Lonchura striata: one gene and its partners. Each later gene encodes a partner of the first gene's protein in a complex. Links are inferred from orthologs where the notes say so. Each region holds a gene or a part of one and is shown in the gene's direction. Other genes may lie near its edges.

Evidence for each region.
Region 2: CUL3 (region 1) and KLHL21 share a complex: the UniProt entries of both Homo sapiens proteins name them as parts of the BCR(KLHL21) E3 ubiquitin ligase complex. The link is inferred for Lonchura striata from reciprocal best matches to the Homo sapiens genes CUL3 and KLHL21.
Region 3: CUL3 (region 1) and KBTBD4 share a complex: the UniProt entries of both Homo sapiens proteins name them as parts of the BCR(KBTBD4) E3 ubiquitin ligase complex. The link is inferred for Lonchura striata from reciprocal best matches to the Homo sapiens genes CUL3 and KBTBD4.
Region 4: CUL3 (region 1) and KBTBD2 share a complex: the UniProt entries of both Homo sapiens proteins name them as parts of the BCR(KBTBD2) E3 ubiquitin ligase complex. The link is inferred for Lonchura striata from reciprocal best matches to the Homo sapiens genes CUL3 and KBTBD2.

What each region holds. Positions count from the first base shown.
Region 1 is NC_134612.1:9,625,967-9,634,043, reverse strand, and holds the start of CUL3 (cullin-3), read left to right. Parts: upstream 1-4,938; 5' UTR 4,939-5,017; coding exon 5,018-5,083; intron 5,084-8,077. UniProt on the Homo sapiens protein: Core component of multiple cullin-RING-based BCR (BTB-CUL3-RBX1) E3 ubiquitin-protein ligase complexes which mediate the ubiquitination and subsequent proteasomal degradation of target proteins.
Region 2 is NC_134626.1:4,242,205-4,249,663, reverse strand, and holds the start of KLHL21 (kelch-like protein 21), read left to right. Parts: upstream 1-4,420; 5' UTR 4,421-4,427; coding exon 4,428-5,466; intron 5,467-6,660; coding exon 6,661-7,066; intron 7,067-7,459. Other genes in the region: PHF13 (PHD finger protein 13), read right to left, coding at 1,338-1,564, 1,922-2,474, 3,203-3,304, 3,697-3,735. UniProt on the Homo sapiens protein: Substrate-specific adapter of a BCR (BTB-CUL3-RBX1) E3 ubiquitin-protein ligase complex required for efficient chromosome alignment and cytokinesis.
Region 3 is NC_134608.1:39,478,900-39,485,892, reverse strand, and holds the start of KBTBD4 (kelch repeat and BTB domain-containing protein 4), read left to right. Parts: upstream 1-3,950; 5' UTR 3,951-4,078; coding exon 4,079-4,097; intron 4,098-4,175; coding exon of another isoform or gene 4,176-4,243; intron 4,244-6,102; coding exon of another isoform or gene 6,103-6,169; exon of another isoform or gene 6,170-6,232; intron 6,233-6,993. Other genes in the region: C1QTNF4 (complement C1q tumor necrosis factor-related protein 4), read left to right, coding at 1-197; protein FAM180B, read right to left, coding at 3,210-3,653, 4,176-4,243, 6,103-6,169. UniProt on the Homo sapiens protein: Substrate-specific adapter of a BCR (BTB-CUL3-RBX1) E3 ubiquitin ligase complex which targets CoREST corepressor complex components RCOR1, KDM1A/LSD1 and HDAC2 for proteasomal degradation.
Region 4 is NC_134603.1:111,258,379-111,266,304, forward strand, and holds the start of KBTBD2 (kelch repeat and BTB domain-containing protein 2), read left to right. Parts: upstream 1-4,893; 5' UTR 4,894-5,047; intron 5,048-5,565; 5' UTR 5,566-5,710; intron 5,711-7,926. Other genes in the region: uncharacterized protein LOC144246033, read right to left, coding at 1-604, 1,320-1,467. UniProt on the Homo sapiens protein: Substrate-specific adapter of a BCR (BTB-CUL3-RBX1) E3 ubiquitin ligase complex that acts as a regulator of the insulin signaling pathway, modulating insulin sensitivity by limiting PIK3R1/p85alpha abundance in adipocytes.

The sequences.
Region 1 (8,077 bases):
AACTTTATGCTGCTTGTTTTCCTCCTTGTCTTGCCACTCCACAGCCTTTCACTGCACCCCCAGGCCTCTCAACCACCCCTATCATGTCAAAAAAGACCCCAAACAAAACAAAAAATAAAACCCAACAGTGCTCATTGTTAAAGCAAACAAAACATTTTGTATGTTTTTCCAGAGAAGGAAAAAAAAACCCAACTCCAAACTTACAGATCTACCTGAAATGCAAGTAAGCTTTATTACAGTGAATTATACCTCTGCCTAAACTCCTCTGAAATAGTGATTGAGCAAGATAAAAACAAGTTTTTTCTTCATCCAGGACATACACAAAAGGAAAAAAAAGTCTCTAAATGGATAGAGAAATAATAATGTGAAATGTTTTTGCCTTGAAATTGTTCTGTTTCTTCAAAGAGAAATGTAATAGTGTCCTGGTAAATCATATTGATTGAATATTGATCCTGTTTCTACAGGAAGCTATCGTCCCTGTACCTAGTGAAATCTAGGAACCCTGTACACAAATCAGTCAGTTGGTTGTGATTTGCAGGGAAGGAATTACGGCATTACAGGTATACATTTATCAGGTTGTCCCAAGCTTTTTTTTTTTTGCAACCATCACATGCAAAGTGACGCAGGCACTTACAGAAAAAAATGAAAAAAAAAATTAGGATTTGGGGTGGGAAAAGCCCTCCTCCTGAATCTGGGCTTTACAGGGAGGGATCTCACTTTTTCCCACCACATAAGGATTTTTTTTCTATCTTACAGTGAGTTCAAGCCCTGAAATGTTTGTCCCTGAGTTTGCAGTCAGGCATTTAGGTGCTCTGCAGACCAGGATGTGGTCATTCTGCATTCTTCTGTGTTAGAAATACTTTTTTTCTTTATGCTTTTGTACTTCAGTACCTCACCCCTGGATAAGGAAAACCTGAGAATAAGCCTGTATGATTCCTTGGAAAGGATGGTTACTTAAAAACAAAAAAAAAATCACAGTGCCTGGCTTTGGTGAAGCACAATTAAGCCTTACCAAGCAGAAAGTCACGATTTGAAATAAAAAAATCATATTTGAACAGGTATATATTGAATATTTCTCTAGAAGTTAACACAAGCTATGTTCTGCCTAAAAGCCTAATTATAAAAATGTAAATTTAGATCAATTCCAATATAATGTGCTCTTTACATTCTTCTAAAATTTCTGATGACTTTCACATGATTACGATTATATGTTAAGATATAAATCAGATTATAAACCCAGTATTTAAATAAAGATTTTCTGTGACCCTCAAGACACACAGGTCAATGCAAAGAGCCATCCCTCTGGTGCTGACAGCAAGGTGGTGATGTGTTACTCAGGTGGAGATATTCTGTGTGGACTGGCAGACACCTAAGCAATGTCCCCTGTCATTTTAGTGAGACCATCAGTATCTAAAATCAAAGGACTGATAGGATTTCAGGGAAAAAAAACTTATTAGGATAATGCAGAGCTCTTCTCTGCACTAGGGTAAATGATACTGGGGGTGTTCATAGCTCTGCATGTTGTGGTTGCTGTAAGCTGGGTTTAAGGCTGCTCAATGCTCAGATGTGAAATTTCCAACAAGGCTTACCCTCCTGTGCATAAGAAGCATTCCCTCATGGCTGGACCACAGAGGGACGTGAGATGTTTGGGACACAGCTGGGGTGACCTGGGTAAGCCACAGGGTGCATCACGCTTCCTGTGCCGATCCGTCCTCCTCCACCTGCCTGTCTTCCTTCTGGTTTGACCCACCTGGAATTAACATTATAAGCACTTAACACACATCTCAATTAGTTCTCTGTAAGCTCAAAGGGTAACTTTTAGTGAAACCTCATTTTGTACATTATGTATGGAAATAGAAAATTTGCACTAAAAAATTGTAATTGTCTGCACCTCGGACAGCCACAGAACAGACCTCAGACATGAAAGGAGGAGCTCCAGAGGAATCTGTGTTAGCAGATGTGACAGATTGGGTCATAAATCTGCACCAGATTTATGAGCCAAAAGAAGGCTCAGGTTCCAAATTCAGCATTTAGTAATAAAATTAGAGCTATCATTACACTTGTGCTAGTGTGTGGTAGCTAAACTCATGTGTAAAAGAAAGCTATTTAATGTGAGAATTGAAATTACTTGGTAGGAGCATAATTTTATTTTTTGTTGGGCGTTATGTGCCAGTCTGAATAGTGTCTGAGGGTGAGTCAGTACTCTTCCACTTTTAGATAAAAAAATGTGCATTAAGGGCAACTTAGAAGGCAAAGAGGCTGGTTATCCAGGGCTGCCATAAGCATAAGGCCAGTGGCAGGAAGCACTGAAGCAATCATTATAGAAGTTAATCCAGAGCCATCTGCAGTAATAGGGAATGGTAAAAGTTTTTTTTCTTCTTTCTTGAAAGAAGAAATGACAGTTCCTCATAAATGGATTCTGGGGAAAGTTTTGGGTATTGAAAAGTGCACTAAATTTGTTGAAGAGTGCTTTTGCAATATTTTCAAAATGAAAACTCTGTGTTTTAGTATAAATTTACTTTTACTTTAGTTCTGCAAACTGTTTTTACAAGAGTTGAACATCTTTGAGTGATTTTATCCTAACTGTTATGGACTGGGAAAAACCCTGTATTAACATAAGAGGTTGTCCTCATTTGGCAAAGAAAATACTTAGGAGGAGAAATGACATTGAAATTATATTGAAACAATGTGTAAACCATATTCTTCATATTAACAACCGGTAATCTTTCCCTTCTCATCTCATCTTTGTTTGATCTGCATTTTGACTATACTGTAATTTTGAAAAGGACTGGTTCCTATTGCATAGTCATGTTGCAATCATTGTTTATTGTGTTGCTCTTATATAACACCTACTCTAGGCGTATATACTTAATTCTGATCAGGAGATTAAAAAATTATGCCATATATGAACATGCATAGTCCCAATAGGAACCATCTCCAAGGACAAAACTGGTGAAATCCTTGGTATAGAAGGTTAACTCAGAGAAGGAACGTTGCATATTTGTGCCCTGCAAATATGTGCAGTATACAGGCATCTGTAGGAAAACACTAATGAGGGAGGCATGTGGAGCAGGATGCAAAATGTGTATCACACAATGCCATGGTAGTCAGAGTTCAGTTCAAGAGTCACCTGAAAGAAATTATCTTCCTGGCTATGCCACCTCCTTCCTTAGAGGGATCTTGAGCAAGACATGTTTTGATGCACATTTCAACTTCAAAACACACTAACTTTTCAGTCAGCCCCCTGGCATCTCAGACATAGATTTTTTTCTGGCTGACCAGCCTAACTTCCAGAAGTGCCCCTCTGATAACTCACAGAATTAGACATTTTCTAACCATTCGACAGCAACTGCCCTTTTCTGAACGACCTATATTTAACTCCGGGCATGTGTAAGCATTGCCTCAGGTGGCATCCTCATTTCCCAAGCATGCACTGCAATGCAGCCACAGAGCATTGCTGAATACCCTTGGCACTGCACAGCCACGGAGCATCACTGAGTATCCCTGGAACTGCACAGAGCATCGCTGAGTATCCCTGGCACTGCACAGACACAGAGCATCTTTGACTATCCCTGGCACTGCACAGACACAGAGCATCGCTGAGTATCCCTGGCACTGCACAGACACAGAGCATCTTTGACTATCCCTGGCACTGCACACAGAGTACCGCTGAGTATCCCTGGCACTGCACAGACACAGAGCATCGCTGAGTATCCCTGGCACTGCACAGACACAGAGCATCTTTGACTATCCCTGGCACTGCACAGACACAGAGCATCTTTGACTATCCCTGGCACTGCACAGACACAGAGCATCGCTGAGTATCCCTGGCACTGCACAGACACAGAGCATCTTTGACTATCCCTGGCACTGCACAGACACAGAGCATCACTGAATACCGCTGCCGTGCATCACGGCACTCTGCGGCGGGACCCGCCTGCCGCTGGCACGATTCACGGGGGCAGCACTGGGATGTTTCCAAGGGCAAGGACCAGGAAAAGGGGCGCAGTGCCAGGCTGCCAGCAGGCACCAGGCAGGGGCAGCTGCTGCCCGGCCGGGGCCGTGCCCCGTGTGCCCGCGGGGCTGCAGCAGCTGCGAGGCCCACTGGCACAACCCTGTAGTGGCACCAAAACCTGCACTTTAAACCTAATGAAACAACTGCCACAAGCCCGACAAGTGGGGTGTTGACCAGGTGGTGGAGTCGCCATTCCTGGAGGTGTTTAAGAGGCGTCTGGGTCTGGCGCTGGGTGATGTGGTTCAGTGGCTTACGGGTGTCGGGGCAGCGCTGAGAGGACGGTTGGACTGCATGATCTTAAAGCTCTCTGCCAGCCCCGAGGACGCCGCGATGCCGCGATGCCGCGATGCGCTGACCCCGCGGCCCCGGCGGCGCTCCGAACCCGCCCGGGCACCCGCGGCCCCGCCGCCCCTCACGGGACGCGCCGCCCGCCCGCCTTGGCCCCGCCCCCCCGCGCGGCGCTGCTTTCCGCCAATCAGCGGCGCCCTCCCCGCCCGCGCGCCTTCCCCGCCCTCCACTCCCCGCCCGCCGCGGCCGTGTCGGCCCGCCGGAGACGGGACGTCTCGCGAGAGCGGCGGAAACCTCGCGAGAGCTGGGAGGCCCCTCTCCGCCCCCGCCCCCGGCCCTCCCGCCGCCCCCGCCCCACCGCGGCCGGATCCGAGCGAGCCGGGCGGTGGGAGGGGAGGGAAGGAAGGGAAGGAGAGCGAGGGAAGGAAGAGAAGGGAAGGAAGGGAAGGGGGGGCGCACGGCCCTGCGCAGTGAGCGATGTTTGTCCGCCATCGCGGCGGAGGCTGAAGGAAGCGCCGCCAGCGGAGCGAGGGGCCCGCGCCGCCGCCTCTGCCGCCCGGCCCGACCCGGTCGGCCCGGCCTCCGCGCCCCCGGGGGCCGCACTCGCAGCGAAGGTCGCCAGCGGCCTCCCCCGGGCCCGTTCCCGGGCCCACCGCCCCGCCGCGCGTCCCCCGGCTCTGCCGCCCCGCGCCGGAGGCGCCGCCGGACCCGAAGATGTCGAACCTGAGCAAGGGGACGGGCAGCCGGAAGGACACCAAGATGCGGATCCGCGCCTTCCCCGTGAGTACCGGGCCTGGGCCGGCCCGAGCGGCCTCCGCAGGCCCCGGCGCCGTGCGGGCCGCGCCGTGCGCCGGGGCCGCGGGTGCGAGCGGGGCGGGGGAGCTGTCAGCCGGCACCCCGGGGCCGTGCGGGCCGGGGGGAGCTGTCAGCCGGCACCCCGGGGCCGTGCGGGCCGGGGGGAGCTGTCAGCCGGCACCCCGGGGCCGTGCGGGCCGGGGGGAGCTGTCAGCCGGCACCCCGGGGCCGTGCGGGCCGGGGGGAGCTGTCAGCCGGCACCCCGGGGCCGTGCGGAAGGCGCTTCTCAGGGAAGTGGTGCCGCACGGAGAGTGGGAGGCGGAGGAACTGGTCCCCCCTGCGATTATCGCTTCCCTCATCAAACAGATCAATTATGAAAATCCACGTACGGCAGTGGGGACCGATTTCTTTGTTTTCAAGGAAAAAGCGTCAAAGAGGGAGCCGAAGGTTATGCGCCTTCGTCAACAAAATTAGTTGGCTCCGGAAGGTGTGGGGGGGAATATTTATTTACATCTCTGCAGAGTTTCCTCTTGCTGTATTTATCTCTTCGCTCCGTAGAAGAGGCTCTAAGTCGTATGATAATAAAATGTAGGTGGCACAATGCCAGCTGTTCAGAAGGTGTTACTATAAGCATGTAGGCATAGGTAACTTGCTGCAGGTTCGGTAGAGTCGTGAGTGTGCCTTCTCTTTGAGTTACAGAGGGGAAGGAGCCAGATTATTAATTTGAAGTGCTGTAACGCTGCTGTGTTTTGACAGTCGGTTCAATTAAAGCTTACAACAGAATAACAACTACAGCACGAGTAATGGCGTTGTGGAACGAGAGGAATAGGAAAGGTTCAGTCTGCTGGAGGATGACCAGGAAGCGTGTGTGTGTTCAGCGCGGTGTATGTTAAAAAGAAGATACTTAGCTGAGTCTCTGCCTTTTAAGCATTAGCGTTGGCTTTTCAGGTTTGGTGTGAACTTTTCAATGCCATGTCTGATCCCAGTAGGCAGTGGTGTAGAACTAATGTGCTCTGCCTTTTTAGAGAAACTGGACATACCTGTTTATCTCATTTCACTGGCAAGGCATGTATCAATATATTTGCTTCATCCAAACTCTTGCTGATGAAATTAGAAGATTCTTTATAGGCTCAGCAGCCAACTTTATAGCAGTCTGAGTTAGGCTGTTTTACTCTTTCCTCTACTTTTAATCACTGATAGTTGCATTTAGTGGTAAAAGTAAAAAGAAAAAAGTGGGCTATGAGATTAGGAATTTTAGCTGATGATAGGTTTTTCATCTCCATATTTCATTTATTTCTTTAAAAAGCCTTTTCCAAGAACGTCAGTTTTGGATTAGAGGAATAAAGGAGAAGACTTCCTGCCATGTGGCCACAGTTTTATTAACAAGTAGTAGGAAAACCTGTACAAAAATAAGCCGTGACAAAAGCAATGTATGTGTTTTGTAACAAACGGCAGCAACTAAGATAGCAGCCTTTTCATTTGATAAACAGATTCATTTATTCCAGCTGTGAATATGACAATGCGATAAACTGAAGTTTGCGTATTTCACCTCTTCTGTATGTGAAATTTGTTTTGCAGGGGTGAGAAATGCTCTAATGGAGCCCTGTTCTTACATAAAGTTAAACATTATCAAGTTTTTTTAAACTATTTTTATTAGCGTTGTCTTTCTTTTCAGTTGCTTAAAGAATATCTAGGTTAATATGTGAAAAACAAAGTGTCTTCTTCCTAAAATAACTCAATAAGTCACAAGTCATCAAGGCCTGCAACTATATGGGGACATGTGTTGATAGCAGCTTTGCAGGTGTCCCCTCCGATATTTTTTTTTTTTACTTAAGACATTTTGTTGACAATCCTATTGATAAAGTGCTTATAGAAAAGAAGCATGTACTTTGAGAGATTTTGGGGGGTTTCCCTTTGTTAATTGCAGAAGTCAGCAGGTGTAGTTGATGTAAAAATCTTAACACGCATTTTGTGTATGCCTAAGTGGTTGTGAAGCTTGGTCCAGGAAATGACTTAGTGTTGGTGACTGCAGTGGGATTGTTTGTGTCAATGAGGGGCATTTTCATGGGGAGTAGAGTCTATGTTTAGAAAATGTGCTACTCATGCAGCAGCTATGGATCCTCACTCCTTTGTCCAAATGTGGTGGTTCTGCTCTTTGGCTCTCAATTAAGAGTGCTTCCAGAGGTGGTTTTGTAGGCTGCTTCAATTTGTCTTCTTATTGATCATCTTTCCTCAGGAGGTCTTTCTGTTGTAGATTAGTTTCCTTCTTGCATGGGGGTAGCTCTTTACTATTACATTAGGCTAGAAATAGCCAAATTGGAATGGTGGTGTTCCTGGAGCATAGCAATATTAACATAACTTCCTTCAAGCAAGTTCTGTTTTTTAAAATATTTTACATTTTTATAATGTATTTCATGCTTCTGTTATTATGTTTTATAATAGCTAAAGGAATTGAGAAATAATAATTTGCCAAACATTGCCTAAGCTTACCTTTTCTACCATACAAAAAATTTGTTAGAAGTGGACCAAAACCTGGAAAAGCACCAGTCTTCTACCTGGACATCTTGATACTTAGGAATTAGTTTTATTCTAGATTTCTTTTTTATTATTCTTGTAATTGGTGCCAGATTATCTGTCATCCCAAGTATCCATTAAGATTTGCTAGATCCTGGTGTGCACTGTGATGTGCTTTTTCTTACCTCAGGGGCAATGGCGCGGGTTACACTGTTTTACTTGTACACAAGTGGGTTTTACAGTAATCAAAATGAACTGAGATGTATGTTTAACCAGTTGCTCTTTTCCTAATTTATAAATTATCTTACTATAAAGAACTTTGCATTCTCTTGTTCTTCCTGACGTAAAGATGGTGATAAGCTTTTCATCAGAGGTAGTCCAGATGAGGATGCATTCTTTGAGACTTCAGATTTGAGTATATTTCAAACCTAGGAAGAGTATTTCTGAGAGAGTTTGTTGTATACT
Region 2 (7,459 bases), on another chromosome or scaffold:
GCCTCTTCCTGGACAGAGCACACGCTGTTCTCCAGGCATAACTTCAGAGAAACACCTCAAAACATCAACCCGATTTGTGTGATCCATGTGGATCTGCCTGATCATTGAGGAACAATGCCAGCATCTCCCTGGCCTTGTGTATGAGCTGTGATTTGCCATCGTGGTCCTGAAGGGATTTCCCATGGACTAAGGCCCAGGAGGTCCTGACTGCAGTGCTGGCCAGGGCCTCAGAGCTCTCCTGTCCACACCACACCAGACGGATCCTCATTGCACTTCATCCTGTAGCTGCATTGCCTGCATTTGATCTGTGTCATTGCTACCAACAGAATAAAGATTCTGGCTTTTTGGTTACAGTCCAGTTTCAAAAAATAAACAGCAAAAGCAAAAATCAACTCAGCTGTCATTCTTGGATGGACAGGATCAAATTCCAAACCAGACCTGCCAGGTTCTACATTTCCTTTGGCCCCTTTTACAGCCCATGTTTGAATTCTGGGCTGAGAAAAAGGAGAGTCATCTTCTTAAAACAGCACCATAGAGGTTAATGAAGGGACAGGAAATGGAACAGTTTCCCCCCATACACACATTTGAGCTGTTCATGCAAATAAATCACAAAAAAAAAAAACCACTGGAAGAAGAGACCTTCTAGGAAGGAATCTGATGCCACTGATCCCCCAAGCTGCCTGTCCAAGAAAAGGGTTGCCCCTTCCTGCCAGGGCGCTGTCCCTTGGCATAGGAGGGAGCCCCAAGTCTCATTTGCACTTGGATGATGCCAAATGACAGAACTCCCCTATGCTCAGGCCTGTGGAAGCAGCAGCAGATCACACAGAGGCCAGCAGCACTGAGGCTGACTCCTATGGAGTCTTAGGATATCTAAGATTGATCTATACGGACAAATGGGCAGGTATAGTATCACATTGAATTTAAAACACAGGGCCATTTACTTTTCAGACTCTTCACACAGACTCCCTCCTCCTCCCCTCCTTCTTCGGGAGGAGGAGGAGTTTTCTAGCACAGAGAAGATTTGCAGTTTCCCAATGGGATGAGAAAACCTACTTGGCAAAGGTATAGTACATCACCCAGTCATCGTAACCAGACAAAACTCCACTGAGCTCAGAGAGCTTCGTCTGTCCCTCGAGACAGTCTCTCGCCCAGTTCTGCCCAGTCGGCCGCTCCCAGCTCCGGCTGCCCGTGGCTCGGTGATTCCTCATTCCCAGGCCACAGGCCGGCTGGGCAGCCCTCCCACCTGAGCAGCAGCAGTTCAGGGGAGCCCTCCCCGGCCTCCCGGCCGGGCCCCACGGCTCACCCACCCGCGCAGCGCACCGGCACGTGCCTCCCCCCTAGTCCAGAAAGCGCCTGCGCGAGCCCGTCCGGGAGCGGTTCGAACGGCGAATGTCAAACTTGGAGTCCCGGCACTTCTGGCAGATGTAGACCTCTGGGACATTCGACTTGCGGATTTTGGCGCAGGAAAGGTGGATCCAAGTGTGGCACTCGTTGCACTCGATCATCGGCCGCCCAGCGAAAGGCTTCATGCAGAAGCAAGTGACCAGGTCCCACGAATCATCATCTGCAAAGACAAATATCAAAGATACATTTTTAGCGGCTGATGCCTCTCACACCAGGAATTTTCTCTCCTTTCATGCTAAATTAACTTCAAAGATAGGCATTTTGCTGCTGTTTCTCTTGCACAAGAAGAGACTCTCAGCAGTACACAGGAGGCCGTAATCGAGGAGATGCTGCTTCTATAAAGTTGCAGCTTTTCACTCAGTTTATTGCAGAAAGAGCCAGCCCACCTTCCTCCTCCCAAAAATCCAACTGCTCCTGAACTCCACCCAGGCAGTGCTCCTCTGCAGTATCCTCAGGCTACAAGTAAAGCATCATTACTTCCACCTGGCTAATCCTCTTGGACAGCCATGTCACCTACCTGAATCCACCATGATGTCCTCATCATCACCAGTGCCATCCTCATCCCGAAAGACCACCTGCTTGCCCTGCCGAATGACCGTTCGTTTGCCCACGCTCTGGATCTCCACCGTCTGCTCGGCCGTCACAGCAGGGTAGGAGACGCTGGACGGGGTGTCAGAGTCCCACACTGAGCAGTGCTCAGTCACAGACTGAGGGTCACCCTCTGACGAGGGGCTCATCGGCGTCTCTGTGTAAGAGTCCTCTGCCTCCAGATCCAGCAGCTTCTCCTCATAGTCCTCCTCTGCAGACACCTCTGTTTCCCTCCTTTTCAGCTTTTTCTTCTTCCTGATCTTATCGATTTGCTTTCGCTCTGGCAGGAAGTTGCTGGTCTTTGCCCGCTGGAACAGGGAACCATACGGTTTTGTTCGCTTAAGCTGACTAAAGTTCTTTCTGTTCTTGGTGGGCAGGGAGACAGAGGAGGGGGTGTCATTGAAGCGGGGATCCCAGCTATCACTGTCAATCGTGCCTCCAGTACTGTTGGGAGGGCTGGGGCTGTTCCTCAGCGGCGTTTCCTGGAACACGTTGAAGAAGCAGGTAACAGTTTGACTCTGAGCAGACTTGTGTGTGGTGCAAGGCACTGCACCCTGTCCCACAGAGCACTCTGACTCATCCCTGAGATGCTGTGCCCTGTCCCCTAGTGGTGTCCCCTGTCCCCACGGGATGAGCCCCTTCCCCCGGGTACTGTCCCCTGTCCCCCAGGGCATTCTGACCCATCCCTGAGATGCTGTGCCCTGTCCCCTAGAGTGGTGTCCCCTGTCCCCACAGGCTGAGACCCTTCCCCTGGGTACCGTCCCCTGTCCCTGAAGCACTGTGCCTTGTCCCCTGAGCTGCTGTACTCTGTCCCCTGGGGAGCAGTGCCTTGTGCCCCAGAGTGCTGTGCCCTGACCCCGGGGGAGCTGAGCGCTGTCCCTGAAGCACTGTGCTCTGTCCCCGGTTCCCAAGCCGCTGAGCCGTCCCTCGAGGCGCTGCCGCTCCCGCTCTCCCTACCACCACCCCGCGGTTTCTCGGGCAGCTCCCGGGCGCGGGGAGCAGCAGGAGCGATGCCGGATCCGACGTTTTTCACCCCGCCCACGCCGGGCACCACCCGCCCCGTCCCCAGAGCCTCCGGCCGCCGCGGTTCCCCTTTTGTTCAGCCCGGCGCGGGGCCGTGACCGCTGGAGCGGCCGGTCTGACAGACCGGCCCGGTGCCCCCCGTGCCCCCAGCCCGGCGCCCCGCCCGGTGCCCCCCGGTGGAACTCACCTCCTGCGGGTACGGGATGTAGCCGGCGTAGGCCAAGACGAAGGTGCAGAACTTATTGAAGTCCTCCACGGTGCGGTGCCGCCGGGAGCCGGGGGAGAAGTCCTGCGGGGGGCGGGGGTGAGCGGCGGCCGCGGCGCCGGGCCCGCCGGGGGGAGGCGGCGCCGCCGCTCCCGCCGCGCCCCGCGCCGCCCCCCCGCCCCCGCAGCGGCGGAACCGGGCAGTGCCCCCCCCCATCGCCCCCCGGTGTCGGCACCGGGCCCCCAGGCAGCCTCCCCGGGGAGGGCACGGCGGGGCGGCGCCGCCGCCATTCCTCGCCCCGGCGGCACAAGATGGCCCCGGCCCCCCGCCCCGCGGCGGGGAACGGACAGCGGGCACCGGCGGCCGGACGGGGCCGGGCCGGGCCGGGCCGGGTGGCGGGACACGCACCCCCTCCCCTTCTGTTCCCTCCCCGCTTCTCCCTTCCCTTCCTTTTTCCCCCCGCGACTCCGGCTCACCTCCGGGGCAAACGGCGAAGCGCAGGAGTCGGAGTCCATGTCCCGGCGGGGGCGCGGGCGGGGCCGGGCGGCGGCGGCGGCAGCCGGGCAGCGCCGACACCGCGAGCGGCTCGGTGCCGGCGGGAGGCGGCGAAGGGGCGGCCGCCCGCGCGGGGCCGCCGGGAGCCGTAGTCCGGGCGTGCGCAGTGCCGGGCGCGGGGCGCGCTGGGAGCGGCGGAGGGGCGGGGGCGCTGCCGGTGCCGGGAGCGGCGAACGGAGCGGGAAGCGGAGCGCGGAGCAGGGCGGAGAGCGGATCGGTGAGTGGGGCCCGGGAGTGGCTCCTACCGGGTGGTTGTGGGCCCAAGCGGGAGGGGCCGGCCCTGGCTGGCGGCGGTGGCAGGACGGGCAGGGCGCCGAAGCGCCTACCGCGAGCCGGACCCTCAGCCCCGAGGCGGACCCTCCGCCCGGGCTAACGGCGGTACCCGAGCGGACTCGGAGCGGAGCTGCCTCAGCGCCGTCTGCGCTCGGGCCGCTCTTGTGCTCCCCCGGTACCATTGGGCGGCTCCTAAGCGCCGGCCCAGGGCCAAGGGCGCGGGGCTGGGCGCGGTAGCTGCGGGGCCCTGGGACCGGCCCGAGCGGGGCCGCGCTGCCAGCGCCGCCGCCTGACGCTACGGCCGCTCCCGGCTGGGGCGGGCTCCCCGAGCCCACCGCCGCCTCCTTGCCTGATCCAGGTGCGCTCCCGCAGGCACGGCATGGCGACAAGCACCGGCGGGACGGCAGCGGGAGCCTCAAGCACGGCGGCGGCGGCGGGAGAACCGGCACACGCGGTGTCGCTGCTGCGGGGTCTGAGCGCGCTGCGGGCCGAGCGGAGCCTGCTGGACGTGACGGTGGTGGCCGGCGGGCGAGAGTTCGGGGCTCACCGCGCCGTCCTGGCCGCTGCCTCGGGATACTTCCGCGCCATGTTCGGCGGGGCCCTGCGCGAGTCGCGGGCCGAGCGTGTGCGGCTGCACGGCGTCGAGCCCGAGTGCCTGGGGCGGCTGCTCGACTTCGCCTACACCGGCCGCGTGGGCCGGCTGGGCCCCGACATCGCCGAGCGGCTGCTGCGCGCCGCCGACCTGCTGCAGTTCCCCGCTGTCAAGGAGGCCTGCGGTGCCTGGCTGGCGCGGCAGCTGGAGCCCGCCAACGCCCTGGACATGCAGGACTTCGCCGAGGCCTTTGCCTGCCCGGAGCTGGCGGCTGCCGCCCACCGCTTCGTGCTGCGGCACGTGGGCGAGCTGGGCGCCCAGCTGGAGCGGCTGCCGCTGCAGCGCCTCCTCTCCTACCTGCGGGACGATGGGCTCTGCGTCCCCAAGGAGGAGGCTGCCTTTCAGCTGGCACTGCGCTGGGTGCGCGCTGACCCTGCCACCCGTGCCCCGCTGCTGCCACAGCTCCTGGCCCACGTCCGCCTGCCCTTTGTGCGCCGCTTCTACCTGCTGGCCCACGTGGAGAGCGAGCCGCTGGTGGCCCGCTGCCCTCCCTGCCTGCGCCTTCTGCGTGAGGCCCGCGACTTCCAGGCTGCCCGCCTCGACCGCCACGACCGGGGGCCCTGTGCCCGCATGCGCCCTCGGCCCTCCACTGGCCTCGCCGAAATCCTTGTCCTTGTTGGTGGCTGCGACCGTGACTGCGATGAACTTGTCACCGTCGACTGCTACAACCCACGCACTGGCCACTGGCGCTACCTGGCCGAGTTCCCCGAGCACCTGGGAGGGGGCTACAGTGTCACTGCACTGGGCAACGACATCTATGTCACAGGTAAGGCATACAGAGAATGAGAAGCACCAGGGTGGAGGGTTCTGTTGAAAATATGTAGGTTGTAGCCACAACATTTGGCTTTTCCTGGGTAGCAGAGCGTTTGGGTCTTGGCTTGGGTGCCTGCAGCCTGCCAGTAGGCATGGAGACTCCTGGAGTCGGTGCTGGATTTAGCAGTTGGTCTCAGTCCAGGAGCTATTTTGTCATGACTAATGCTGTTGAGCATGCTGGCAGAAGTCACAGATCTTGTAGTTAGAACTTTTTAACCGTCACTGAGGACAGGGGTGATGTAAGAAGGTTTTGAGTTTCGGTCTTTGAAGAAGGTGTTCAGATTCAGAGCCCCCTGAATCACATGCTTGAGGCTGAGGCATGTCAGAAAACCCCAGGTTCTTTCACCAGCCCCTGTGAGTCACGGTACCTTCCCCTGCACAAATCCTGCCTCCTTGCTGGGGTACAATTACTTCTGTCAAGGTGACACCAATATGTAAATTTGGCTGATAAGCTGTATGCAGATCCCTCCTTTGAACTACATCTCTGTGACAGCTATAACAAACTGAGGCCCAGGACACTGAGTGCTGTGGAGCAGCCTGCCCTCGGTGTGCAGGACACACTGGCACACCTTTGAAGAGCAAGTCTTAATGCAGGTGAACAGAAAACTGTGTGTTCTCTAGTCACAAGCAGAAAACAAGGACCTGCTTTAAGGACAGCATTGTAAAAATGACAGGCTACCACATGGATGCAGCATGTTTTTACAGAAGCCCTTACATCCTGTGGGAGCTTTCTGGAGTGATCCCAGGCAGATCAGTCCTGCTGGGAGCTGTGTACAGGCTGCTGCTGGGGATCTTGGGTTGGTTTGGGCTGTGTCAGTGTGACAAAGGCAAGGCTGGGAGATTCCCAAGCTACCAGCAGCACCACTGCCTTGGCAGCTTCTGGGCAGTGACTGAGGGGGGACTGTAAAATGGTAGAGAAGTGGGTATGAGAGGACAGAGGTAGTGAAACATGGAAGACTCATTTTGAGTCTCAGCTATGTATGGACTAGGAATGACATGGGAGAAATCCTCCCTGGCTTGCTGGGAATGAAACAGTGCAAAACTTCTCTTAAAATCCTTGTGGCACTTGTGCTGAGCCAAGCCCTCTCCTCCATCACCCTTCCCTTTGTGGAGCCAGGATTTTGACATGTGTCATGCTGTGCCACAGGGGGCTCGGATGGGTCCAGGCTGTACGACTGTGTCTGGAGGTACAATTCCAGTGTGAATGAGTGGACAGAGGTGTCGCCCATGCTGAAAGCCAGGGAATACCACAGCTCCACGGTCCTGGACGGGCTGCTCTACGTGGTTGCCTCTGACAGCACGGAGCGCTATGACCACACACTGGACAGCTGGGAGGCCCTGCAGCCCATGCTGTATCCCATGGACAACTGCTCCACCACCTCGTGCCGTGGGAAACTCTTCGCCATCGGCTCCCTGGCTGGCAAAGAGTCCATGGTCATGCAGTGCTACGACCCCGACAGTGATCTCTGGTCCCTTGTCAACTGCGGCCACCTGCCCCCCTGGTCCTTTGCCCCAAAGACCGTCACGCTCAATGGTCTCATGTACTTCATACGGTGAGTAGTGGGAGCAATCACTTCCCTCCCTCCCCATGTCCCCATGAGGAGAGCCCACAGCTTCCCTGGGAAGGTGGATTTTGTGGATTTTGCAGGTAGTGGACGAAGGGCACTGGGTTGGGACAGCACAGCAGTGCTTCCCCTGATGGTGCAGGGAGGGCTGTAACACTTCTTTCCTTGAGTTGCTGGGCTTCAAAGAGCTGCCCATAAACTTGTGTGAAAATGTCTGAGTGTAACCCAGGGCTGGAGAACAGACACGTGTAAATCCATCTGAAGTCAGCAGCACTGCCTGGAAATTGGCTTCTCGGTTTCTTCAGCTCCTGGTTCAGTCCCCCTTGTTGCTATAAATAAACACATAAGCTCCAAGAAAACGTTAAACTCTAGTGCAGGAGA
Region 3 (6,993 bases), on another chromosome or scaffold:
GGGAGATGCAGAGCCAGAGCATCATGCTGCCTCTGCAATATGGGGACACTGTTTGGCTCTACAGCCATCAGCATGATGGCTATGGTGCCTACAGCAACCATGGCAAGTACATCACCTTCACAGGCTTCCTCATCTATTCAGAGGCTCAGCCAAAGTGGCTTCCAGGTGCCAGCTCACCTCAAGGGTCAAACAATTAAATGCAGATGTGAAAGGAGCATAAGAAGAGCCAAGGTGCCATGAACTTGAGTATAGCTTCTCTGAATATCATCTTCTGCTTTGAGCATGCTGTCATGTGTCCAGTGCTTTCCTTACGCTGCACACTTGTGCCCTGTCAGCAGGGCCACTGCTGTGTGTGCCATTCGTCCCTAGAGAGGCCTTTGGGGTTGTAGCTGTGTGTCCCGTGTTGGTGTTTGAGTTAACATAAAAGCATGAGGTAGTTTTGGGGCAGGGGTGGGGCACTGTAGTGAGATGCTGAGGACCAGAGAACTACTGCAGTCATGATACTGCAGATCTCCAGCATCCAGAGAGAAAAGGGTGTGGTGACTTTCCTTATTTATCCAGGGAGGGAATAAGTGTAATGAAAAGGAATGTAATAAAAATACAAAAGATGAGAATGTTCTCAGTTTGGAATTTATGCTACTTTGTGAGACTTGTGTGCTTGTCATTGGCTGAGGTATCAACTCAGGTGAGAGAGAAGCATGGTAATTGTGTGAGCTGAGGATGTGTTACTGAGCCAGTCTGTCTGTGTACACTCTTTAATCACTTGTGTGTGTGAAGGGATGGTACCTCTTATGATTTTATTGCAAGTTTCACAGTGGTTTGTGCTTTTCTTTATCTGATGTAGATGAAGTCAAGAAGGTGTGGTTGAGAATCTCAACTTTCATTTAATGTAAAGAATACATTTAGAAGCAAACAAAAGAGCAGGCATCTTATAGTGAAAGATAAGGGCTCAAATCTGTGAATGGAACATGCTCTGAAAGCCCAGAAGCAAGGTAAGTAAGAAGAATAAGAAATCTGTCTTTAAATCTCTAAAGATTAGGATCAGGAGCAGGCCTCATAACACCAAGTGTGAGTAGTACCACCCCAGCAGTGGTTCTGCTGACCCCAGGGGCGTTACCTTCCCCAGAAATGAGCCCCTTGAACACAAGGGTGTTGCTGGCCCACCACGTGCTGCACTGATAGCCTCCTGCAGGCGGGGTCAGAGGAACCGTGGGTGATGTGTCCAGCATCCATTTCCAGTGGTTTTGTACGTACGGAGTTCCACCGAGAGTTTGCCCTGTGGAGAGGCTGCTGTGGCTGCAGTGGGCACTGTTGTGTTCCTACAGTCTGACAAACAGGGGTGGGCAGCCAGCGGGATCCGCTGAGGAGGTAGTGGGAGGACAGGAGACTTCATTGTAGCACCACTGCTGCTGTTTCAGTTGAGCTAAACCCCAGGTTGTATCCCAAAAATACATAAACTGCAAACGTGCACCATCCTAAGCATGTACACAGCTTCATGGCATCACTTCAGTGTACTTTATAATCCGTTCAACAGGCAGCAATGCTCTAAAACTGCTCCTAACAAAATCCCGAGTTCAAAGCAGTGTGTTGGCATCTGAGTCACAAGCCAACCCACTCCGCGTTTTTCCATATATTTGTATGGCTCAGGCTGTATTTTCTCCAGCAATACAGTATTTTTATGCACCACTGCCATCTCAGCTCAGCCTTTTGATGATACTCTGCTCAAACTCACTGCCTCTGTCACTCCATACATGTCCTAGGCATTAAAGACTGGGGCATATTTGGGAAAAGGATGAAGAGTAAAGATTTGAAGTATGTAAAAAACCAGCATAAGGTAAGACAAGAAGTTTTACTTCAATTAAATTCTAATTTTAATTAATATACCATTTGGGGTGAAAAAGAAAGACACAAACAAAAAGAACCCCAAAACACAAACCAAAATGAAACAAGCACACAAAACAAAAATCCAACAACAAACAACCTGCTTTAAATCTACCTCCTGTCAAAACCCTTAGCTGACCTCTAAAGCCATTGTCTGGAGCATCTTGCTTCCAGGCTTCTTGTTCCTGCCTTACCATTTTCCCTCTCCATCTGTTGGGCTACAATGGCTTGGAATAAGATTAACTAGGTCAGAAACTAGCAGTTCCCACTCTGAAGGTCACACATGCCTCTTTTGTCTAACATGGAAAAATTATATTGATAGAAAGGGAATTATGGATCCCATTGTCTAAGCACATGCAATGAACGTTTGAAATTTATGTACCTATAGGTGCAGCAGGAAATCTGCTAGAAACAACAAGAATCAAAATCAAAACCCTCCTGAGGAGACAATTACATTTATCTAATTCCACACCACAGTGTTTAAGACAGACAAATGTTAATGATGTCTTTTTGTAAAATAATTATATTTCTGATAGAGACTATGTGTTTATTATGTTTGGCTTGTAAAATGCCACAGCTGTACAAAAAAAAAAAAACTTTATAGAAGAAAGGCAAAATCTGCTGAAGAAATAACTAGGTCAGGATTCTTCAGAATTTAAATGAGATTTCAGGAAGTATATTCCAAAATGATAACTGAAACAAAGCTGTGTATATGTGTAAATATGATATGCAAACACTAGAAAGCTTCATGGAATACATACCTTTTCAGGTTGCCTTTTAAAGAAAAATTAATACGTGATATGGGAAATTGCTGTTGACACATAAAATATGATGCCACATGAGGAGAAAAATTAAATTAAATATGTGACCTATATAATGAAACACAACAAAACCTGCTTAGCTGCTACTGGAGAGGAGAAAAGATCTTGTATTTGTCTGAAACCACAGTGAGAATATAAGGAGAGTGAACTGAATTATCTGAAAGGAAGTCAGCTGTGACACCAGCATAATATCTTAGAAAAATACTTCCAAGCCATCTCTCCTGAGCATCAGTGATCAAGATAGATAAGACATCTAAATAGCACTGCCCCATTCAGCACAGCTCACTTAGCAAAAAATCAGAAAAGGGAGAAATGCACTTTTGTCCTTTTTTCATTTAAAAATAAAAGCTTGCGCATAAATCCTGAGGGGGTTGTCAGCACAGTGCAGAAAGCAGGACAAAAGGGTGTGGCATATTTATTGAAAGTCCTGCACACTGTGGAAAGCATTGAAAATAACCAAGGAGGCAGCTGAAGCCAGGTGTGCCCTTTCCTACGGGGGTTCCCTCTTTAGGTGTCTCTCTTGGTCCTGGCCAGGTTAGAGCGATAGAAATGTTTCAGGGATGCTAAATGTGAAGGCTTCTCCTTCCAAGGCCAGGAAGCCTGGAGGAGAGTGGTATTTGCAGGGCAGAGCCCCTTGCACAGGTCACGGAAGATTTCATCAACCAGCTGAGAGAAAAAGCCAATCCAGGGGGATTTATCCAGACCCTGCATGGAGCGAACCTGATAGGCACTGTAAACACTGGTGAAAAGGAGACGGTCGAACTCTGTCGGAGGCAAGGGAGCGTCGGTCAGTGAATAGTATCTCAGGTGCTGCTCAATCTCTGCCGGTGTTTTGGGAACTTCCTCCTCTAAAACCTGCAGGAGGCGCCGTGCCGGGCGTAGGGAGGCCAGCTCTTCATCCCGCAGCCGGATTGTCCCGTTGGTCTGGATATCCAGCCTTCCCCAGAGCATCTGGAAGAGAGGGGCAGCGCTGTCACGGAAAGCCCCGCACAGCTGCACCGCTGCCGGACGCGCTGCGGGCAAAGCCCAACGCAGCGCCGCCGAGCACACCTCGGGCGGGTCGGCGGGGCCGTGAGGGACCCAGTGCGCGTCCTTCTCTGCCAGCCCCACAGCCCGGTTCCGAGCATCCCTACAGCCCGGTTCCGAGCATCCCCACAGCCCGTTTCCCCGCTGTGCAGCTCCGCCTCCCGCCCCGCCGTCCCCCCGCAGCCCCGCCGCAGCCGCTCCCCGGTGCGGCCGCCTCCAAGCCCAGCGGGGCCGGTCCCTTGTCCCGGCGCGGGCACAGCCGCCGTGGGCTGCGCCCCGCAGTGCCAGGGGGCACAAATGCCATTGGGCATCGCCGAGGCGTTCTCCGGGGGTCCTGAAATCCGGCAGGGATGAGAACAAACAGAACAGGTGAGTTTTTACGTGCAGGCAGGTGGGAGCGTGGGCACTAACAGCGCCTCGGCCCAGAGCCCCCAGTGCTCAGGAGACCTCTAACATGATGCCAGCGTCCTCTGGGCCACGACGGGCTCTGTTGGTGCCGCTGTGAGGATGTTCATCTGGAAAACATCAGACAGAGCTTGGTAGCACAAGACCTTCATGTTTACTGGTTTTGCCATTTGATTGTCAATAACATCTTCAACATTCCTGAGCTACCACTCAGCTTGCCAAATATGACAGATGCTGACCACGGGATTTTGATAAGCAAAACAAGCTTTTTAAGAGAAGCAGTGGTTGAGGCGAGGTTTTGGATATCACAGCCCTCAGTGCTGCCAGCAGAGCTAAAGCATACAGCAGCAAGGCACTGCTTTGACAGGCAGCAAGGAAGACTCTCACACCGAGAATGGATGGGGTTTGAGCCAATGGGGTTTGGCTGGTTAGCAGTTATTGCTGGAGAAAGTAATGCTGCCCAGTGAAAGGAGGGTGCTGGCAGGCTCCTCAAGATGCTGCTAGAAACAGAAACTGATGCTTATCCTGGTTATCTACTTCTTCCTTAAGCTTCTGCTGCTGGAAGAGTGTGAGGATAAAAGAATCCTTGCCAGATCCATTATGGCTCATTTGATGTCCAGCTAATTACTTGCTGGGACATATGACATCATGTAAAACTGAGGAAAATGGATATGAGGCCAGAGGAATGGCAGTTTTTGAATATGAAAGTCACATTAATCCTAAGAATTGTTCATTTTTCATTTCCTAATACTTACAGTGCTTTAACTGTCGCATCTATTTCTTTCTTTGTGTGTATGAAAAAGGAGACATAAGCAGTCTTGGTCCAGGACTGTGAAAGAGAGGCTGCATCCCCTCCCTCCTCTGTGTCATGAGGTAGCCAAGACCCTCTTCTACTTCTTAGAGGCTCATCCCTCAGGTTAAGAAATATGAAATGGAAAAAGCTCATATAAAATAGTAAGCTCTCCAATATATTTATGGGCTTTTTTTTTTTTTCATTTTTAAATGGATGAAAGCTTTTTCATACATATATTAAAAAAAAAAGTAAGGATTTACATTGAATACCAGAGTTAAAGTCAGCAGGAGCATATAAAAAGTAGAAAAATTATTTAGTACTACACACGTGTGATGACTGCTACCAAAAAACACTTCCAAATCCTCATTTTTGATTAGACCTTTTCAGGGAGATGCACGAGCTTCTGGAGAAGTGCACTGCCAGCCGGCAGCCTGCAGTGTTTGTTTCTCTGCACAGCTGCAAGCTCTGTGATCCAAGCCAGCTGTGGCTTTGGAATGTGAGCAGGGATGTAGCTTCTTTTTTCTAGTCCTCCACAGATGTACCAGCAAGGCTTTTAGCTCAGGTGAAAGCATTATATCATCTGAAAATTTATTTGCTTGGTATTGTCTCTAGTAACCGATGCTCCCACCTCACAGAACCCTCTCCTGAGAAATGTCTGACCAGCTGCAAAGTCAGTGCATCTGCTGAATAGGTGCCAAACTGCCCTTATTAGTTACTGCCTCATAAATATACACAGTGGAAGATTTTTGAATAGAGAAAAATGTAACAAAGCACAACAGATAATGTATTGGAATAAAAACGTAAGTATTCCCTGGGGAAGGGAAAATTCTTACTTATTTTATCACTCAACAGGGTTGGGTGGGGTTTTGTTTCCAAAAAAGCATATAGAAAATCCACAAACAGTATTGCAGGAGATTATTTTTTCAGCGGAGACCCAAGAAAATCCTCCCCTTGCCACCAAACACAGCAGCAGGTCTTCAACCTGCAAGGATGTACCAGTGCAAAACCCCCCCAGCTGGACTCCAGCTCTATCCCATGCCAGTGCAGCTGCCTGAGGCCTCGGGCCAGGCATTTGGAGGAGCAGCATTTGGAGGAGCAGCAAAGCATCACACAAATGGCATTGCACAAAGGTTTGCCAAGCCAAGGGGCCATGTCGCTAACAGATGTGCTCCCTACCTGCCAGCCTCTGGGATGCAGCAAACACACACAGGAGCAGCCAGGAGCTGAGCTGTGCCCGGGCCATGGCAGCACCACCCGCTCTGCGACAATGACGCGCCCCACGCCACAGCTGCTCGCCTGGGGCGTCTTCCCGTGCTGCTTCGGATCCCAGCAGCCTCTCTTGGAATGCATCCATCTTTCTGTGTTTCTGGTCACAGCCCTGGGAAGGGCTTGCAGTTCAAGTTGTTGACCCCGAAGGATGTTTTCCGTCATATTTTGGAAACTTGGAAAACTTTGTTGTGATGTTTTTGGCAGAATCGTTCAAGCTTCCTTTTCAAAGATTGACTTTCCACTGCAATGATTATAGGAAGCTGTTAGTTGCAAGAAATTCCACTACATATGTTTGCCTCTTAAGAAGTGAGGACCCCCTAGTCCCTTCCATTTCTACACAGTGTCTCTGTCACATTTCAGTTTTCCTTTTTCCTGGGTTCAAAAATCTGAAAACAATCCTGGAATGTCACAAACAGATAAAGCTAGCAGACTGCAGATTCATGGAAGGGCAGTAGCAGCCAAAACATACAAGCAGGCAGAAGAAGTGTCACTGGCTCAGTTCTGTATCAAACCCCCCCGGAGGGAGAACTCAGTACAGTGACCTAACAAACACCAAGTATCAAAGTGGCTCAGGCTTTAGCACTTCATCTTCCTCTCCTGTGAGTGGACTTTTGGGTTACAGTGAGCATAGTCGCCCTTAGATGTTCTAAATTACATAGACAAAATTTCATTTGATTCACTTTACAGGAGATGTCTGTTCACTACAAATCTTTACATATTTGTTAGTGCTAAGTCCCCAGTCAAACTGTTCTGTATTTCTATTCTGTATGGCACAGAATGTAATGCCAGGGTTATACA
Region 4 (7,926 bases), on another chromosome or scaffold:
CATGAGCTGACAGAAAATAAGTCATGTGGCACTATGTTCTCTGGAACTGGTTTACCACTTGCCACATCATACAATGGGATTGTTTCTTTAAAGGACTTCCACAGCTGAATAGCTGGAGAGCCATTTCCATATTCTATCCTCACTTCTTTCTTCTCAAAGGCATAACTTCCAGTAGGAAGATTTCTATACTGTGTAGGGCTGGCAGGGTTCTTATTATGAAACTCTCTGTCTACCACAATAGAAGAGCCAAATGAATCTTGTTTCTCTGAAGTACTTTCAGTCTCTGTACCTGTACTAGGAGAAACACAGGTTGTATTTCCTGCATTACGACCTTTTGTTTCTGCACGAATATCTTGATGCCCTTTTTGCTTGCTTTCAGGCTGTCTAGGATCAGTCTGTGTTTCTTTTGTCTCCACTTTCTTCCCAGGGCCACTATAATGTCTAAATCTTGTTGCATGATAAAACACAGGGGAAGGTGGGGCAGCATTAAAATAAGGCCTTCTGTTAATTCTTGTATGCACGGGATGCCGTGGAACAAAAAATCTAGGGTACTCATGGAGCGCAACAGGATAAAATGGAAAATATGGATTTCCACTTCGAAAGCCTAGACATTGGTGACAAAAAGAAAAGACAAATATCATCTTTCTGAAATAAGTCATCCTGAATCACATTTACTTGCATTGACAGGGACAAGATCAGAAACATCTGTAAATAAGACACACCACCTTCCAACGCTTAGAAGCAAATCTGGTGCAAAATCAGAAAGAGTTCTTTGTTGGAGAATAGCTTACCTCAACATCTACACTTTAACCATAGCTTGAGTTAATCCCTTGGAACATTCAACAAGTTGTTTTCTGTGCTTTTTTGGCTATTTCACAGACTATTGATATAGCATTAATTTTGAAAAATACAGCTTAAGATAGAAGTTCACATAGGTATAGCACTTGCAAACTGTATTTAACAATACTTTTCTTATTTTCTTAAGCTTACATTTATCCATACCTATCATGCATGCACATGTGGAATTCATCTATACCCACAAATATGAATTGCCAAGTATATTCTGGAGCTCTGTGTCTGCAGGATGACCATTACTTAGTATTTTGCTTAGCTTCCATTCTCCAGAAGCAGATGCTTTCCACTACACAAGCTACATATTTAAGGCAGAATTAATGTAGAGCTACAGTTGTCAAAAATCTGATTTATTAAGTATTAGTTAAAATCTCAAGAGGCTCATTAACACAGATACTGCAAGAGTGAGGAAAGAAGTATGTAACTAAGTAAGCAAAGATCCCACAGAGAGCTGCTGTTTACCTTACCTGGAGCAGGTACGCAGTATGGACTGTATGCATGACTGAAGTACCATGGATTTGGATAAGGCTGTTGAGCTGATGACTGTGCATAAAAAAAGAGTCCTGGGTGGTTTGTGGAATATGATCCACTTTCTGAAGTTGAGGCAGTACTCATTCTTCTTTAAACACTGAAAGAGAGAAGTAATCATTATCAACTGCATGACTTAATTATTTTTATGCTCTGTCAGCATTATCAGACATTCCTCTCCCTGCCCAAAGAAAACAGAAGAAAGCTGTCCTTCCAAAAGAAAGCTGCTGTCTTCCAAACAGAAGGCAACAAACTGACATGCTATCAAGGTCAAATATTTCAGTTGGGCTTTGCTAAGCAAGCTTTTGTACACAGCTCTCAATATTAGTCCTTCAAGGCAACCTTGCAACATGCTCTAAAGCTACAGAACTTCAGTAGTCTTAGATGCATGCCTCTCTATAAGCAGTATCCCAGCCAATTAAATAAAAAAGCCTTCACTGAATTAGCCTTGAGCAAGAGACCACACACACACAGAGGAAAAAAAAAGCTTCACACAATCAGATATTTAATGTCTTCATGAAGAAAACGCTTCGTAATGCTAATGCATATGTTATTACACAGTACAATAAGAACTCCATTAATTCAGGATTTGTACTTTATACTATACTTAAGAATGACAGCTAACTAATGTAGTAAACCAAGTATTTCAGTGACACCCTGCTTCCTACGCTTAAACCAAATGATAGGTAGCAAAAACAACCCCACCAAAATCCTTATGTGTAAGTTTGCATTCAGAGCCATATAAAATTCACAAGACAGAACTTCCTCCCACACTTAGATGTCTCCTCAGTTAACAAATACTTGCAAGCAATACAACACTATCACACAAAGCTTATAAGCAAGACTATAAAAAAATCAGAGAACACAGAAGCTTAATTCTTTAGAAAACTCAAGCACTTTGAAGTTCCAAAAAAAAAAAAAAAAAGCAAAAGAAAACAAGAAAACTATTTAGAGACCTGTTACAAGTTCGCACACGGTTCAGCCTAGAGTTTCAGAATGCCTTAGAAAGACTGGAGCCCTCTTCAGTTTCCATGTAGGGTGGCCTGTGCAGCTCTTGAAAGCACCAAAAAGCCTACAGACTCCCTCAGGCCAAAGAATTACTTCGACCTTTGAGAAATAGAATGGTGCAGAGAAGGGGAAAAAAACCACAAAAAAAAAAAAAAATAAGCACCAAACAAAACCCCCTACAAGAACTAAGCTATTCCTCCCCCTTATAGCCCCAAAACCTAATGTCCAATGCTGCTGCTGCTGCTGCTGCTGCTGCTGCTGCTGCTGCTGCTGCTGCTGCTGCTGCTGCCGCCACCACTTACAGCCCAGCAAAAAAAAAACTAACCACGTCCTCTTTATGGCAGGCAGCTGCTACTTGTCCACTCCTCCTCCCACCTGAGGCTCATTTAACAGTGATGCAGGGGGCGTTTTTCCATCCTTGTGTGGGAGGAAAATCAAAACACAAGGATAGGAATAGTCGTAGAAGCCTTCAGCTGTTGTACAGAAAGCTGGCTATCTCATCTTGCAGATGTTTAAGCTGCATCTCTAAGTAAATCTTGTATTTCCCTTTTATAATGTTGGAAATTACTTTTTTATTTTAGGAAAAGAAAAATAAGGGAAATGTTCCTAATCTTTTGATTCAAACTGCAGTTAAAAACACTTCTTTCAGGGGAAAAAAATCAGAAAACACAAGGCCAAGTTTACATTTGTTTTCAAGGTTTACCAGTTGTTTAGTACTGAGTAAAAGGAGCAATGCTCTTCCATCCTAACATGGCTGAGGGGGCTGACAAATGTAATGTTATTTCCACATGAACAGAAGAAGCACTTATTTCCATACAGTGTCATGGGAAGTTTTGAAATGTGAAGCTGCATTTTGACTCTACCCTGCCTTTTTACAGGAGGTGAGACTCTGAGCTGCTGCTCTGGAATTGCACATCTCCAAATGAGAGACTACTGGTACAGGGTCAGGTGAAAGGAGAGGAAAGCACAGTGCATGTGCTATGCAGGCTGGTGAGTGGTTAGGGAAAAACAAAGTGGTATGGATGCTTAGAGATTCTTTGTATTCCTGTGTTGGGAAGTTCCCAAAACTGATGTGGTTTTTCTTTATATAACATTCAGACTAAATCTGTCCTTTGTACCAAAACACAAACAATAAAGTTTGGGAAGGGTTACTGATCCATTCCTTGCAGGTCTTCCCAGCCAAAGCTTGTCCTTTCCACTGACAGCAGCTCTTGCACTTTGTATGACTTGTAGTGACAGGACAGCAAGCAATGGGTACAAAGGGAGATGGGAAATTTAGGCTAGATATTAGTAGGAAATAAATTCTCGATTGTGAGGGTGGTGAGGCTCTGGAGCACGCTGCCTGAGGACGTTGTTGAATGGAAGTGTTCAAGGCCATGTTAGATGGGGCTTTGAGCAACCTGACATAGTGGGAGGAGGGTGTCCATGCCTGTGGCAGGGAGGTTGGAGCTTGATGGTCTTTAAGGTCCCTTCTAACCTTTAACATTCCATGGCTCTATTACTTGTGTGTTTTAAATCCCCAGCTCTGCTCTGCATCCATGATACTTTCACCTCTTTGAAGGCACTTTCCAGGCTTTCTATTGGTGGGTGGACCCAAAGAGAAATAAAGAAAATAAATAACACTGGATGGCTTTTAAAAAGATGCGTGTTCTCAAGATTTTCGTTTCTCTGATACCTCCCTCAGCCTCCTGTAATCCTGTCAATTCCTTCCATCCCAGAGTAAGCTCCAGTCCTCCCAAATGTCAGGTGAACTATGCTTTTAGGGCAGCAAACCCACACTTGGCCGAAGGACATTCTAGGATTCCAGGAGGGCTGAAGGACCAAAGGCCTCCCGGGGGAGAGGTCCGAGCTGGGTGTTAACCCTGAAGCCCAGGGGCCTCCAGGCTGCAGCAAGTCTGGAGCGCAGGTCCTGTGAGGAGCTGGCGTTGTTGGAAAAGGAGAAAAGGGGGCTCAGGGCGGACTGCATGGCTCTCTACAGCTCCCTGAACGGGGAGTGTGGCCGGGCGGGGGTCGGGCTCTTCTCCCCGGCTACCAGAGACAGGATGAGAGGAAACGGCATCAAGTTTCGCCAGGGGGGGTTTAGTTGGACATTAGGAGGAATTTCTTCACAGAAGGAGCGATTAGACTTTGGGGCGGGCTGCCCAGGGCGGTGGCGGAGTCACCGTCCCGGGAGGTGTCTGACTGCACGGCACTCGGTGCCCGGCTCCGTTGCCGGTCGCCGCCGGAGGTGCCGGCGTCTCTCCCGAGCCGCTGGATTCCGCGGCTCTGGGGCCGCTGCTCCGGCAGGGGGCGCGGGGCCCCGCCCCGTCCCGCGGGGGGCGCCGCTGCCGGGGCGCGCGGGCAGGGGGCGCTCGCGGGCGGCAGAAGGGACAGGAACCCGGGGGCGGGCCCGGCCGCCCCCCCGCGCCTCGCGCCTCGCATGCGCAGACGGGGCGGGCGCGGCGCTCCGTAACGGCGGGCGGGCGAGGAGGGGGAGGGGGAGGAAGAGGTGGGGGGGCGGCGGCAACGGCAGCAGCGCCTGCGCGCCCAGGGGCCGCCGCCGCCTCCGCAGCCCGGGAGAGAGACGGGATCCGCCGCCGCATCCTCTTCCTCCCCCACCGCTTCCCCGCGGGCGCCCGCGGTCGGGACGGCCGGGCGCGAGAGGAAGCGGCGGTCGGAGGTTTGTCCGAGCGGAGGGGCGGGAGGGGGAAGGATGGCGCTGGTGGCGGCGCTCCCGCGCGCCGCAGCCGCCGGGCCCTCTCCCGGCCCCGCGCGGGGAGCGGCCGCCCGAGGAGGCCTGGGTCCCGGGGCCGCCCGCGGGGGCTCTGCGGCACCGCTCCCCCCGGCCGGCCGCGGGCCCGCCGGGCACCGCCGGAGGTGGCGGCGGGGGCCGTCTCCGCGCCCCCGGGCACGGCCGGCTCCCTGAGGCGGAGAGGCCGTCGGCATCGTTAAGCCCGGAGTGTGGCGGTGCTGGAGGAACGGGAAGGTGCCCCCTTCCTTCTTGGGGAAGCAGGAAAGGGCTCAGGGCTGCGGAGGGACGGGACGGCGCACCTGAGCATCGGGGAGAGGGAAGAAATGTGTTCCCTCGCCCCTGGTCCAGCATCGCCGCGTCCCGCAGGCGGGAGGGGCCGCGGCCGCGCCGTGTGACGGGGTCGGGGCGAGGCGGGGATGTCTGAAATCGGGTGTTTGTGTTGGCAGCGCTCGGAGGGACGCGCGTGTGAAGTCTCGGAGAGCAGCAGTGTAGCGGCATTGCCCTTCCTTGTAGCTGTCCCTACTGATCCGTCTGGTTGTGCATACGTACACTATGGATACCTGCAGTGACCAGGCGTGGGCTGCCGTGCTCGTATGTAGCTTTAAAGAGTCACATAATTCTTAGTAAGCTTTTCCGGACTAAGTAAACACGTAGTATCGCTTTGACGTTAGTCACATTTTCCCGGCGTTTACCATTATTTCTGCTATGAAACGGGATACATACCTACTGCTTTCGAAATAACTTCAGTTATTATTTAGAAATGGATTTGTGCTGTACTTAGCGTGTGCATTTTTAGAGGTTTTATTGCAAAGCCCCAACTTGGCTTTTCTACATCATGTACATCTGCCTTGTGGTCATAACGGGCCTGAAAGCCTGTGTGCTGTTAGAAGTTCACCTAGGGCTGTAGCTACATGAATTTTGTTCAGATGAGGTATTTCAGAGATTATTAGAATGCACACTTAGTATAGTTTAATTTCTCATAAATCTATCTGGAGGAATAGTTATTTTTTAGTGTTTAATTTAATTACATTAAATACTAAACGTCTACATCAGGTATATCTACTAAATATATACATCACCTAGTCTCACAATTTGAGTATAGGTGTCACACCTTTTTCCAAATTGTTTTTGTGTGTCAAATAGAGAGGTCCTTTATACTCAAAGATGTGTAAGTAGTGTCTTTCAGGAACAGTCCAAAGAGGAAGAAAGGATGTTGCTGCTTATTTAATATTTTTGACTACATTTTAGACAGATGGTTGTTGTTGTTTTTTCCTTTGTTGAAGCAGGCTTTTTTGTTTTGGTCATGTGATTATGAAACAGACCAGAATTGGTGCAAATGCTAAAATTTCTTTTTCTTGGTTTAGTTTTCTTGGACTGTAGTGCTTTGAGAATAAATTTTATATGCATGAGTATGATATCCATTATAAGACTTAACCTTTCAGGAACTAACTTACAATTAATTAAGCTAGATTAATGACTAATTAATTTCTTCATGTAGAAATGCATAAATTTATAGTTAAGTATCATATAGTGAATAAAAAAATGGCACATGCTTTTAAACTGGAATTTAAGTTGTTACATAAAACAGACTAGCTTCATTAATGTACTATAGTTCAGAGAAAAAGAAAATTGTATATATAGGATACATGACTGGATATTACTGAGACATCAGTGGCCCACTTTTTTTCAGTTTAATTTTCCAAAACAGGTCAAGTCTTCCACAAAACAGAAACACCCTTGGGGATGGAAACTACCTGTGCCCAGTGTAGAAGTCCAGTTGCCAATTTAAGCTGTTGGTTTATCATGTCATAAATGCTAATTTTCTTTCTAAGCAGGTGTTTCCTTTAGTGTGTAACTTCCTTTAGGAGCAGAAAAACAGGAGTGCATTGTGACCAAGCATGTTTTTAACATGGAGTCTGACACTTCTAGTCTCTAGTTTCTGTGTAGCTTCAGAAAACTCACCTACTTCAAAGTTGTAACTCGCCTCCCAAGCACGATATATATGGAAAATAGTAGTAGTTTTCAAGTGAATAGTCATTTTGAAGATAACCTTGTGGGAGTAAACCTTTCCTTGTTTTTAGTAAAATTTCACATTGTTGCCTTATTAGAATCTCCTTGATGTCCTCAATTTTCTGGACTACTGTGCTGTCAAAGACACCTTTGATGGCTTTAGAAGAGAGGAAAACTTCCAAGTCTGGAACTGCTTCATCAATTACCTATTTCTTTCTCGCTGCCAAGGATGTAAATTTGATACATTACTCAAGGATCTAGAGCTTCCAACTCCTTTTTTCTTCTTTCTTTTCTATCTTTGAGATCTATTGGCTAGGTGTGTTGATTTGCATAATTGATTCTAATCAGTTTTACTACTCACATTCCCCCTTGCTGTTATCTGGTATGTTAAGTTTGAAACTGGTTGGTTTGTAACTCAGAATATCCCTCATAGTAACCAAGTGTTGAAGTGTCTGAGCTGGGCAGTGTGTTGCTAGCTGGGAGGATTGCTATCTCCACACACCAAGGCTTGTGTAGTTTGGCTTACAGTTGTTCAGGTCTAAATTCTGACCTTTTATTATGTTTAAAATAGTGAATGACTCACTTCTTTAGATGTGTTTTTACTTGTGATTTGTATGAAGCTGCCCTTGGATGGAAATTGGATTTTGATTAAAAGTGCACAAAAGTAGTATTTAAAGTTTGGTTTTGGTTTGTTTGTTTTTTTAAATTAGTTAAAACTAGATTAAATAAATTGAATGTCCAGGGAGATAAGTTTGGGTTGTTGGGTTTTTTAAAAATTTTCTTCCAGACACATGGAA